Linked DNA regions of Cricetulus griseus. The main gene of each other region encodes a partner of the protein of the gene in region 4 in a complex. Links are inferred from orthologs where the notes say so. Each region holds a gene or a part of one and is shown on either strand. Other genes may lie near its edges.

Region 1 (2,526 bases), about 220 Mb from region 4:
GTAATATAAAGTTACAATATAAAGTAGATGAGCCAAGCCTCACTAGGGTTGTTTGTAGGATCCCGAGTAAGACTTCTAAAAAAGTAGAAAAGCCTGGAAGTGGTGGCGCCCGCCTTTGGTCCCAGCACCCAGGAGGCAGAGGCAGGGCATCTTTGTGAGCTCGAGGCCAGCCTGGTCTATAGAGCGAGTTCCAGACAGCCAATGCTACACAGAGAAACTCTGTCTCCAAAAACCAAAAAATAAAATAAAATAAAAAAATAAAGAAAAGAAAAAGGACTGAAAGTTTCCCTCAGAAGAAAAACAAAAAATTAAAAGAACAAAAACTATATGACTTCACATGGAGATAGAGGGTGACAACTTGCAGCAGTCGGTTCTCTCCTTCTATATGTGGTCCTGGAGAGGACTCTGGCCCTCCACAGGTGTGCCCACACACATACACAACAACAATAATAGTAAAAGGGTAATATAACAATAGTAAATAGTTAAGAAGTAATAATAATAGTAAGAATAAGGATCAGAATCGAAATTTCTTTCCCGTCTTTATTACCATACAATGCCAGCTCACAACACTGTTACACATCTTATATACAAATGACAAAGTAAGATAAACAAAAACATGAAAACAAAAAATAAATAAATAATATATATATAAAAACAATGAAAAGGCAAAACAATCATCAGAGTTGTTTTTTGACATTTTCCTCTGAAAAGCTAATTTATTCCAGTTCCCTCTCTTTGAGCAGAGGGAGGACTTGGTCAAATCTCCATGTTATCCTGGGCTTTTAATGGGAGAAGACTGTCAAGGAGATCAAACAGCCGGCTTCGTAAGGAGAGCCTTAATGTGGGTAATTAGGCAGACGGGCTCTGCGTTACTGGCTAGTTACGGAGTGAGTTCCAGGTGAGCCAGGGTAAGACCCTGCCACCAAGAAACAAACAAACACAAAAGATGAAATTACTATATAAAGGAAATGGTCCAAAGGAAACATATTCTCACCACTTAAGTTTTCCGGAAGGGAGTCGGCCTGACTGGCAGCAGTGAACCAGGGCACTTGGGAGATCTTTCTGCCTATCAGGTGAGGACAGACCTCAAAGATGGACAGACCTTCTTAATCACATAAGCCTTTTGGGGTCTATTTTTTCCAGGTGAACCAGAGGTTTGAGCTGCTCCGCAAAATTCCTCATGTCATCAGAGACCATGTCCTGCCCAGCTGGTGCAACAACACTCAATTCCACAAGATAGGAGAGAGACAGGGCCTCTGTGCTGTCTGTGTTCCCTGGGACCAGGATTCGGAAAATCTTGTACACCACAATCTTCATGATGCCCTTCCGGAACAAGTGTCCTTTGGCTACAAACTCATGGTCCATGCGGAAGCCCATTTCCATCAAGAAGTCTGTGAGGTTCTCAGATGTGGCAATGTCCACACAGTTGCGAACCAAGGCGTGACGGTTCTTGTCTCCCATTTCTGGCTGTCCCAGGTAGCGCAGGTGCCACGGTGCCCCTGCCCTGTCCATGGAGCGTCGGGCCCTTAGAACAAATGGACTGGCCTGCTGGCCCTTAAGAAGGAATACCATCTCGTGATCAAGGAAAGTCTCAGGCTCCATGTTGTCACACAAACCACGAAGGCGATGGATGAGACTTTCCAAACTGTGGTCTAAAACACTCCCTGAAGAGGTAAAAAGACAATGAGTCCTGGATTTCATGCAAAGTCATGAAACTAGCAGAAGATAAACACACACCAATAAATAATAATTCTATGCATTGTTTCATGTGAACCATCCATGGGATTCTACTGGTTCTCTACCTCTGCTATGTGGTTCTCATAGATTGATCTCAGGCTATCAGGCTTCAAAGCAAGTACCCCGTGGTGGTTGGAGTAAGAATGCTCCCATAGGCTCTTACATTTGAAGGTCTAGTCCCCAGGCAACAGAATGTTTACGGAAAAATTAGAAGGCATGTGCTTATTGGAAGGAGTTACAACACCAGGAGTGGGTTGAGTTTTCAAAAGCCCACGCCAGCCCCAGTGTCTTTCTCTCTACCAGTGGATCAGGCTGTAGCTCAGGGCTATTGCTCCAGCACCTACCTGCCTGCTAGCTTCCATGCTCCTCACCATAATGATCCTAAACCTCTGAAACTGTAAGCAAGCCTGCAATAATAAATGCTTTCTTTTGTAAATGTTGCCTTGTCATGGTGCCAAGAAACAGAACAGAAACTAAGACATAACCTTACAAATTAAGCTGTCTTGTGAGCCCATAGCCAGTTTTCTTTATTTTTTGAGACAAGATTTCTCTGTATAGTCCAGGCTATCCTGGAACTTGCTCTGTAGACCAGGCTAGCCTTGAATTTGGGGATCCACCTGTGTCTGCCTCTGGAGTGATGGGATTAAAGGCATACAAAACCATGCCTGTCTTCTTGTTCTTAAGTACAATTATATGAAAAGGAAAATTTGAATTTGTTCCATAAGTAGAATTTCATTAGCTGGAAATAAATAATTGCAGCTGGCTGTCAATCAATGGTAGAGCATGTGC
Region 2 (3,520 bases), on a different chromosome or scaffold from region 4:
GGATGGAAACTTGATCTGTGTTGCTGTCTGCTGAAGCACGTCCGCACACATGTGTTCCAAGATTGAGTTCATAATCACCACTCTGGGGGCAAGGAGGATACATGCAGGCATTACCCCTGGAATTAGGTTACGGAAACGTGGCTGGGGAATTAGACCCACTGCACACTAGGGGAGGACACGATACAACCACTACTGACAAGGAGCTTACGTGCTCCGCATGAAGCCTAGAAAGGCACAGGGCAGAGATTTTTCTCTTGCAAGTTCCATCAATATATTCAGATTTTCTGTTCTCCCTCTCCCGCTCCAGCCTCTCCCATCCCCCAGGACTGAGCTCTGCCAAATCAGGGTCATAAATAAATACAATCACTTCCCACTGAGTACTGGGGGTGGGGGGATGTCCCCGCCCAGCCTTGGCCTCCTCCCAAAGTAAACTGTAACTTCCAGAAGAGGCCCTTGGGCAGCCCCCAGGACTCTTCCCAGCCTTGGGTAGCTGGGCAAAGTGTTCACAGCCAGGAACCCTCTCAGGAACATCTGGGGCTATGAAAGCAGTGGGGATCGGGGCACAGGGATGCTGCTGCTACTTTCAGAGCTCCTCTCCACCTGCACAGGAGGCTCTGGATTTCCACTGTGCCCGTGTACGTGTATGTGTGAGTACATATGCATGCATGTGCGCAAGCACACATACACACACATACGTACACATGTATACACACACACACACACACACACACACTTGAGATGGATGATGTCAAAGCAAATTTTCTATAGCAAGGGGAGAGCAGATGTGCTCTTACAGACCCTTCCCCAAACGGTTTCAGCTGTCGCTCAGAAAACATCCTAGCAGCTGCCTTGTGAGCTGCCCTCAGCACCCACTCAGAGCAGTGTTCCCCCAGTGCCTCTCAAGGGCAGGATGGTAGTCAGAAAGGGCACATACGGGCTTAAAAAGAAAGGATATCACTGGGCGGTGGTGGCGCACACCTTTAATCCCAGCACTGGGGAGGCAGAGGCAGAAGCATCTCTGATTTTGAGGCCAGTCAGGGCTACAGAAAAACCCTGTCTCCAAAAAAAAAAAAAGGAAGGAAGGAAATCCTGTCACATGCTGGAATATGAGTGAATTTTGAGGAAATTATGCTGAGTAAAGTCATGAGAAGGCAGATATTACGTAATTCTAGTTATATGAAGTATCTAAGCGTAGCCAAACTCCGGGACAGGACACAGCATGGTAGCTGCCAGGAACTGAGAGAAGGGAAGGTGGACAATGTTTGTTGGGTAAAAGGCCCAGATATACAAGATGAAAAATGCCTGGAGGGCTGTTTCACAACAGATCCCATATACTGAATGACACATATAAACACAGCTGAAATGGTAAATTGCCTATTACATGCTTCTTGCCACATTAAAAACCAACAGTCAAACAACTTGACAGTGGAGTGAATGAAGCGACTGGACTCAGCCTAGTGGAAGTCCCTGAAGAGCCAGGACTTGAATTGGTGACCAGGACAGCTGGGGGTGGGGGAAGGAAGCCATAAAAGCTGCAGATGGCTCAGAGTTCCTCGACAGTGACACAGCCAAGCCAGCTAATCCCTTTGCTCTTCTACCTCAGCTCGTTTTCTGGAATTTGGAGCCTGGAGGACAGATGTCAAGCTGTTTGGGGTCGATATTTCCTGCCTATGGGAGGTGCAGGATTAATACACAGAGACTCACACCAAATTCCTGCCGAGCCAGTTGAATGAATGGGTGAATAAGAATGTGAGGGAGTGGTAGGAAAGGGGAAAAGGTGGGTGATAGTCCAGCTACTCTGAATGTGCACCCCCTCAGCTGCCAGGGCAGACTGGTCAGAACCTAGATGGAAGGGGAAGTGGCTTAGTGAGCGGCTACCTGGGAAGGTGGAGGCCGAGAGAGAGCATCAGAGTGGGATGCCTGTGTCCCTGGAGGGCTGACTCCTCACCACACGGCTGCAGGGGAGGGGCGGGAAGGGCAGGGCAGGTTACTGACCTCTCATTGTAGAACTGCAGGGTGTTCTCACTGTACAGTGGCCCTGCCAGCTGACGGATCATCTGCAGCGACTTCTCACGCTCATCCAGCCCCAGCATCCGGACGTGGGCCACAAGCCAAGCCACAGCGCACACTGCCAGACTGCATACCTTTCCCTTGATATTGTCAGTGATCTTCTGTGGGGAGCAGAAGAGAGCGACTTAGGGACTCTTTGCCTCCCCTTAGCCATCACTCCCATGGCGTCTGGGAGAGCTGGGGATCACATTCTATACCTCTGTAACACAAATTTGATTTTCTCAAAGATAACTGAGAAGGAGGAAGTGGCTAAGACAAGGATTCTAAGACTAATACCAAAACATGATCTCGGGCTTTAGGATTTGCTTGAATGCAAACTAACAAGCTCTCGATGACTGGCCCTGTGTCTCAGGCAGAGGGAGGCCCAGGTACAAATGCAGCTACCTGGATGGACTCGAAGGCCAGCACCCCATTCTCCCAGGCATTGAGGATCTCCAAAATGGCTGCTGAGATGCTCAGGCAGGCTTCATGCCACTTCATCTGTCTACAGAGAGGGAAAGTGATAGGAGGAGCATCACTACAAAGGAGCTGGAGACAGGATGTGGGGAGGGGGTCTTGGAATGCCCCCACGACTACCCCAAGGGCAGGACCTAGGCCACTAACACTAGCTTCATCTCAGAGGAGTTGTTGAGCAAGGCCACCAAGGACTCTACTTTGGTGGAGTCAGGCCGGAAGCAAGGGTGGTCAGGGTTCAAAATCTTGCCCTCCTCAGGCATGCAGGTCTGCATCCAGGTCTCAAAGAAGGGGACCTCCTCTCCTGAGCTTGCCTCGGAGAGAATCACCTGGATAAGACAGAGAGGCACCAGCTGAGAGAGGACGGTATGGCATCTGTCAGAGCTGAGCCCGGGACTGGGCCTCAGTTCCCTGCTCTTTTGCTGTTCCCTTTCCAAGGACAAATGTGTGCAGGGGAGGCAGACAGGGATCTGTGCTGCCACCTAGTGGTCAGTGTGAATATGTCACTAGAGGACCTGTAATGCTGGGGACCCACTGACATAGCAGGCACCAGAATTCAGGCCAACAGAACCTGCTGGCTTGGGAGAGCAATGGGGCCCCATTCAGTTGGTGCCTCTTAATGGCACCAGCTCTCATTTCACTCACCTCTGAGCCATAGGTCTGGGCCACGTGGCACAGCATGAGGAAGGAGATGTCGAAGAGCAAGGCACGAACAGAGGCTGTTTTTGCTGTGGGAAAGGCAAGAATGCCAACCTCTCAGCCCAGGACAAGGGCCCAAGCTCTGTACAGGAGAGGAGGTGCTGGGGACCGAAGGCCTCATGCAGAGTAGGCAAGCATGGAGGCTACATGCCAGCTCAGGATTTCCTGAAGGAAGGTCAGGGCCCAGTGGGTGCTTCAAAGCTCTAAGGCTCAGAATCCTTTTCTTGGGTCTTACTTAGAACATCATCCCTTCCTTGGAAACCAAGACCTCCAGAACCCAAACCATTCTGAAATGGTA
Region 3 (2,194 bases), on a different chromosome or scaffold from region 4:
TGTTACTAAACGTTTTTTCATTGCAAACTTCCAGATTTAACACCAGACGTCGGCTTTAAAGGAATAATGCAGAGGCTAGAGAGATGACTCAGTGGCTCACATTCTGCTCTTTGTATAGTACCAGTTTGGTTCTCAGCATCCACAGAAATGGCTTTCAACCACCTTCACTCCAAAAAAAGCCAACACCCTTTTAGCCTCTGCAGGAAATGCACTCACACTCACATAGACAGCTAACACAGGAAATATAGTTAGCACATAAGATATTTTAATGTCTAAAATGAACATAAACTTAGTGACCGAAGACTGATTACCTGACTGGGGGGAAGGGGAAGCCCCTAGCAGATATTTTATGGAAGATAAGGAAGAAGCGGCTGTGATACTGAGTTTGTAGAACAGTCATCAGGAAAATAGTTCCTGTATTGTTTTGGAATAAATCTAAACATTTTGTAATTTCACATGTACAGTTTGATGCCCTTTATTAGTCTTAAAGGAAATAACTCCCCCGTAAGAATGACAGTTCAATATTTCTTAAAATTTTTATTCCACTTCCAAAAATAGGACTATCCCATTCAATAGCAAACATTCTGCTTTTTTATGATCATTACTCAAATATACTTCCTTGCCTATCCTTACTGTTAAATTATCACCTACAGCATTTCAATTGAGAAAAGTCCCTTTATATTTTTAGTTATACCTCTTAAGACTGTCCAAGAGAAAATAAACTAATATATGATGCTATTCACTAAAAGAAAAAATACTCATGGTCTTTCATTCATTTCATCAACTAGGACACATAAGGCAGCATCTTTCTCTATAATCTGGTCCCTCCTGTGACCTGAATTTTCTCTTTGTTGTTCATTTTGTCCAGTACAATTGCTGTTATCATCAGTATCCATTGGCTCAGTTTTAACTCTCATCCCTGCTTCTGAATGGGGTAAATCATCTGGCAAAGAAGCAAGGCAATTTTGGATCATTTCAATTACTCGTTCCAGGTGTTTCTGAAACCTCTCAGCTGTTTCAAGACGTTGCCGTTTCTGGACCTCCATCATTACTCTCAAGGTCTCTCTTGCTTGGTGGGGTCGATACTCATTTATAAGATGATGCACATGTACGAAAAGCAGCTTAAGATCTTCTAGCTTCTCTTCTCGTTTTATACTCCCAGGGCTCCTTATTAAGATATCTAAAAGGTCCAAGAAATTAATCAGTATAGACATATTGAGTTTTCTCAGTTCTTTCTTGTGATCAAATTGCATAGGATGAAGCCGTTCAATGCCCTGACTTTCCAAAGGGCGAATGATAAGATCATCACATTGGAACTGGTTGCCGAACATCATGTAACTGTCTTTAATTGGAGGGGGAGGCTTGGGAGCTAAGCCTTCCTGAATATTTTCATCTGTATATTCCTTGATGTACTGCATTGGAGGTGGTGGGAGTGCACTCACTTGCTGTGGTTCACCCATTGTCGACAATCAAGAACCTAAAGAAACAGAACACAGATTCAGAGCAGAACCAGACAACACTACCCCCAACCACCATCAGTGACTTCAGAGTATGTTTTTCCTTCTTCTGACAGGACAGGGTCCAAGACAAGATGATCTCAGATTTAAAACTAACATTTACAAAAAGGGAATGGCCATCAATTATTTTCTAATTAAAGATTATGTTGTTAACACCCCTATTGTTTTCCTTTATCTCCTTGGTGCTTTCCAGAGCAGTTAAATAAACAAGTTACTCTTTTTCATATATAAATAAAATCTGAGGGGATTGGAAGCTAGGGCAGCCACACATCAGCTGGGTGTCTGCTGAGGCAAAAGAAAGATAACAGCCTACGGATGGATGTGCAGGGTGTCTTGTTTTTGCTTTGTGCCTAGGATCTTCTGTTGCCACCCCCTCCCTGCCCATCTGGGGGAAGAGGGTCTGTGCAGCAGACATCTAGAAAGGCACACCATTCCAGCAGAAGGCAGGTACCCATAATTACAGTAATGGCATTGAAAAAAATAAAAACAAACAAAAAACCTTTCTGAGCACAAAAGACACTAGCACTTGTTAATTTCTCAAAGATAAACCCATACAAAGCATCCTGAAAATAAAGGGGTGTGGTGGGAGGAAGAGGCTCTTATGACATCTGTCACTGTATCATGAAGCTTCACTGCTGAGGAAAAAAATTACCAACCAATGACCAGGGCAGCCTGGA
Region 4 (4,188 bases):
GAGCTCACACTTTCTCGAAGAAGCCGAGTCCAGGTCCCAGAAGCCATGCCAGGTGGCTCCCATTACCTGTTACCTCTAGCTCTAAGGGATCCGACACCCACTTTGGCCTCTCAGGCATTCCTATAAACATAGCAACTAGTAACGCAGATGCATACACATCAAAAACAAAATAAATTTGAAACCAAAAATAACCGACTTTTAAACTGACTTACTAACGAGCCCAGGCCCCTCTCCATCTCTTATCTCTGTACAACAACCTCAAATCAACTCTGCCTCTTTTGGAGGGAAGGTCTTTGTACAGGTCATCCCCACCCACACATACCTGGGTGGAAGGAGGCCAGTCTCAACTGCCATTGCCAAGCAGTCATAAAGGAAAGAAATTCTTTTAGGGCTGTGTTGGCCATGAATAAATTTAACAATCCACTGGATGCATTGTTCATGAGAATCCTAAAAATTAGAAAAAGTTTTTATTTTAGGCCTGAAGTTACATTTTCTAAGGAACAGAAATGGTTAATATCATACCAGGGGATATATCAGTACCGTAAATAAAATATTGGACTGTGAACATCAGTAAATTAAAATAATTCCTAAAAGGGCAAGATTCAAGTCAGATTCAACTGTGGGCATGGTAGTATATGCCAGTAAACCCAGTACTTGAGGGGATGACGTCTATGTGAGGCTATCCTGGGCTACATATAGAGTTCTGTCAGCCTGAGCTATATCTAGCAAGACCTTGCCCCCAAATAAAGATTTAATTAGTATTTGTTACACTGATTCTTAAATATTTCAATTAAACTCCTACCATGAGACCTCCAAAAGCCGCTAAGATTATATTAGCAAATTCACGGCCAATAGAAACTCATCTAAGTTACTCTAAGCAGCATCTTTACAAGGTGATATAAATATTCCACTTGCTGGAGGAAAAGAACCTAACTTAGGTGGGGACCTCAGCCTCATCAAAATTTAGATGAATACAGTCCCCATGAAGGCTAATCAGAGCCTGCCATGATTCCAAACACAAATCTAATTTCTAGGTCTTCATAATTAAAATCTGACACCAAAAGTCTTGCTGATATCAAGACCATCTTTCAGGTGTATACAAATGGTGATTCTATAAAATAAAAATATAATTCTGAGGCTGGGGATGCAGTTCAGAGAGGAGCGTATGCCTAGCATGTGGAAGGAACCCCGTATTCCCAGCACTGTTAAAAGAGAAAAAGCACACTGTGATGGCAGACGACTCTGTAATCCCAGAACTCAGGAGACAAAGGCGGGGTGACATAGACAGACACAGTCTCATATGTAGATAAACAGTTCAGGGACCACCAACTGTGATTCTAGCTTCAGACGGGGGTTGGGGGGGAGCTAAGCTAGAAAAGGAAGAAAACCAGCCTTTGGAGCCACTCTTCTGCTTTCTGATTCACGCAAAGTACTACCTTTTGAAAATAAACTTAGAACATATTGTCTTTAGGGTGGCAAACATTACCACTGGCTCAGAGGCAAAAGCTCAGTAGCTCACTTCCCTATGTTTAGTGTACCATGAGAAGATAATGTACTAACAGGGACTCTATTACAGCATCTTTAGGAGGGTATACTCATAAATCCTGGGTAATTTTTTTCAACCGTGACATTTTTCTTTTACAAGAAATGCTTAACATTATCTGTTTCCATGTGGAAAGCAAATGTATCAAAATAGAATAAAATGTCTTATATAATCTAACATGAAAGAAATTTTTTAAAAAAACATCTCCCACTGGGATCTTATTACATTGAACTTTCAATGCAGGTTCTGCAGTAAAGAAATAAATGTAGCCAGGCGGTGGTGGTGCATGACTTTATTCCCAGCACTTTGGGAAGCAGAGGCAGGCAGATCTCTGTGAGTTCGAGGCCAGCCTGGTCTACAGAGCAAGTTCCAGGACAGGCTCCAAAGCTACACTGAGAAACCCTGTCTTGGGGGTGGCAAAAAAAGATATGAATGTAAAATGATGGCAATTTTATTTTTCCTATTCCTAAATGATCTTAAGAAAAAGGTCAATGTGGACATAAAAAGTAAGAAGGAACCAGAAGTCATCAACTGGCTGTTACATAGGTAATGTCTCACCTGAGAAAGCCCATTCCAAAACTGTCGGAAGGCTGCCAAACAGCTAATTAGTTTTGTTTTTTCATCCTCAGGGGTATCCATAAACATGCTAAAAAACAAAAATCACATTACTTGCAATTATTGCAACTCCCCCAAACCAACGTAAGTAAAATCTTACAAAGATACATCTCACAAAAATCCTGCCTGCCTCATACTCACCCTGGGAAAGCCTCTTCTATAATTTCTGTTTTCTGCAAACAAACAAAATACAGTAAAGGATCTGAATAATCAAAAGGGGGTGGGAGGTGTTCCCTAGAGAAATAGTTTAGGGCAATATAGAACAAGTCACTTTTATCAGGAACGCGCGGGAACTAACGATGCTTTCTTTGAATCTGACAGCTGCCCAGGGATCGCCAACCCTAGTATAGACTCCAATGTCAAAACAAACAAAGGGGGCGGGAAAGGAGCCGGCCCTGGTCCAGGCCCAGAGCCGGGCCGCAGTCTCCTCCCTACTTCCCCCACCCCCTCTCCCCCTGGTCACGGACATTTGCACTCACCACCACCTCCTCGAAAATGCTCTGCAGCTGCGTCTCCATCGTTACCATCGAGCCCCGGGCTCCCGGGGTGCCCGCCAAGGCGCGGGTAAACCCCTCGATCCGGGAAGAAAGGTGCCAAGGGGAGGAACCACAGGAAGGAAGCCCGGCTTTCTCGCTCGCTTCCTTCAGAGGTCCGCAACTAAAGAGAGCCCGCCCGGAAGCTCGGAAGGGCCCGGTGCGCTCTCATTACAACCACTCCGAGTATCTGTAGCCCTACCCGATGGTTCCGCAAGCTGAGGTGGCCCGCAAGCTGACAAGCGCACCTTGTTTGATATGAGACCTGCTGCCTTGGTCACCACCTCCTGGCTGGAGACGGAGCTGCGTCATATTTTAAGTTCTTTTGCAGCCAAACCAAGCGATGCCTGTCAAGGACTGACCATCTGAAAGAGTCGATACCGCTTTATTCTTGCCCGCGTGCACCCTATCTTCTTTATGGTAGTTGCCTCAGTTGCTAGGAGATGGGCACGTTCTTTCGATGAATTTTGAAAAAAAAAAAAGGAATAAGCGCATTGTTATTAATTTAATTAATTTTGATTGGTGATGTTAAGCACATGATTAAAAACACTATTTTGCATCGCCCTGGAAAATTTATGCAGCCAGCTGCTCAACCACACTGCCCTAAATCCAGAAAGCACTCTCTATTTATACTACCATTCGTTTGTCACATCCTTGATGTTTATGACTGGACTGTTTACATCTTCTGTCTACTGTCAATCATATAATTTTTCATAAGCTTATTTGTGGTTCTAATACATCCTGTATTCAAGTTTTTCATCTTATATAGACAACATTTTTCTTTGCTTTAGTTTGTGCTCTCGGATAACACTTCTATCCCCTCCTCTTTTTCTTTCTTTCCTCCCTCCCTTAGTCTCTCCCCTCCCCTCCATTTTCCTCCCTTTCTTCTCACCTCCTCTCTCCTTTGGTTCTTTTCAAGATGGGGTCTTTTGTAGTCTAAGTAGGCTAAACAGAGACCACTATATAGCCCAGGTTAGCCTGGAACTCAAAATCTTCCTGCCTCAACCACCTGAGTCCTGGAATATTTTCTTACTTTATTAAACATTTCTTTCATTGTAGATTAATTTTCATGGATACTTTGAATTTGTTGTGGTTGTTGTCTTGTTATCAATAATTTCTCCTTTATTCTAAGGACATGATGCTATCAATGTTTTTTTTTTTTTTTCCCAGAAACTTCAGAGTTTCAGCTGAAGTTAAGTCCATGATTTTTAAAAATTATACATTGTGGCTGGTGATAACTTGTCACATGATTTTTCCTTGGGGAGATGTAAATTAACGTTTACATACCACAAACAGAGGGCATTGACAGATTAAATAAAGGATTCCATTCAAGTGCAGCTTGGTGAACCAATGAGTTTATTATAATTACTTATAGCAGCATGGTGACATGGGCAGCCACATCACTGGAAACTCCTATTCCACGCATGGATGTCTTATAAAAAGATGTACCACTGGAGAGTACTCTCCCAATAAATTACTTTTAATACAACTTTGGGG

The links. Proteins that work in one complex are often made in the same cells at the same time.
Region 1: Med23 (region 4) and Med18 share a complex: the UniProt entries of both Homo sapiens proteins name them as parts of the mediator complex. The link is inferred for Cricetulus griseus from reciprocal best matches to the Homo sapiens genes MED23 and MED18.
Region 2: the proteins of Med23 (region 4) and Med24 are in contact, whole or in part, in a cryo-EM structure (PDB 7EMF), measured with the Homo sapiens proteins. The link is inferred for Cricetulus griseus from reciprocal best matches to the Homo sapiens genes MED23 and MED24. Residues at the interface, in NP_004821.2 of Homo sapiens: Asn150, Thr151, Val152, Ser153, Ser154, Glu193, Gly194, Leu196, Pro197, Trp199, Leu201, Gly202, Asn203, Ser206, Asp207, Asp210, Arg213, Tyr258, Asp259, Lys260, Phe263, Ser1133, Arg1139, Ser1176, Glu1180, Glu1182, Trp1183, Val1184, Tyr1186, Arg1189; in NP_055630.2 of Homo sapiens: Lys238, Thr239, Leu280, Leu283, Lys287, Val291, Glu295, Cys336, Glu339, Phe340, Lys343, Leu344, Thr345, Pro346, Leu347, Asp349, Lys350, Gln353, Lys384, Glu720, Lys721, Trp723, Thr756, Arg757, Lys758, Glu759, His760, Met802, Asp803, Pro804.
Region 3: Med23 (region 4) and Med7 share a complex: the UniProt entries of both Homo sapiens proteins name them as parts of the mediator complex. The link is inferred for Cricetulus griseus from reciprocal best matches to the Homo sapiens genes MED23 and MED7.

What each region holds. Positions count from the first base shown.
Region 1 is NC_048595.1:20,804,494-20,807,019, reverse strand, and holds the end of Med18 (mediator of RNA polymerase II transcription subunit 18), read right to left. Parts: intron 1,665-2,526; coding exon 1,111-1,664; 3' UTR 521-1,110; downstream 1-520. UniProt on the Homo sapiens protein: Component of the Mediator complex, a coactivator involved in the regulated transcription of nearly all RNA polymerase II-dependent genes.
Region 2 is NC_048600.1:111,791,843-111,795,362, forward strand, and holds part of Med24 (mediator of RNA polymerase II transcription subunit 24), read right to left. Parts: intron 3,486-3,520; exon of another isoform or gene 3,383-3,485; intron 3,252-3,382; coding exon 3,169-3,251; intron 2,853-3,168; coding exon 2,674-2,852; intron 2,555-2,673; coding exon 2,455-2,554; intron 2,172-2,454; coding exon 1,996-2,171; intron 83-1,995; coding exon 1-82. UniProt on the Homo sapiens protein: Component of the Mediator complex, a coactivator involved in the regulated transcription of nearly all RNA polymerase II-dependent genes.
Region 3 is NC_048600.1:60,992,662-60,994,855, reverse strand, and holds the end of Med7 (mediator of RNA polymerase II transcription subunit 7), read right to left. Parts: exon of another isoform or gene 2,174-2,194; intron 1,478-2,173; 5' UTR 1,461-1,477; coding exon 759-1,460; 3' UTR 521-758; downstream 1-520. UniProt on the Homo sapiens protein: Component of the Mediator complex, a coactivator involved in the regulated transcription of nearly all RNA polymerase II-dependent genes.
Region 4 is NC_048595.1:244,044,921-244,049,108, reverse strand, and holds the start of Med23 (mediator of RNA polymerase II transcription subunit 23), read right to left. Parts: upstream 2,808-4,188; 5' UTR 2,686-2,807; coding exon 2,638-2,685; intron 2,332-2,637; coding exon 2,300-2,331; intron 2,190-2,299; coding exon 2,102-2,189; intron 448-2,101; coding exon 323-447; intron 1-322. UniProt on the Homo sapiens protein: Required for transcriptional activation subsequent to the assembly of the pre-initiation complex. Component of the Mediator complex, a coactivator involved in the regulated transcription of nearly all RNA polymerase II-dependent genes.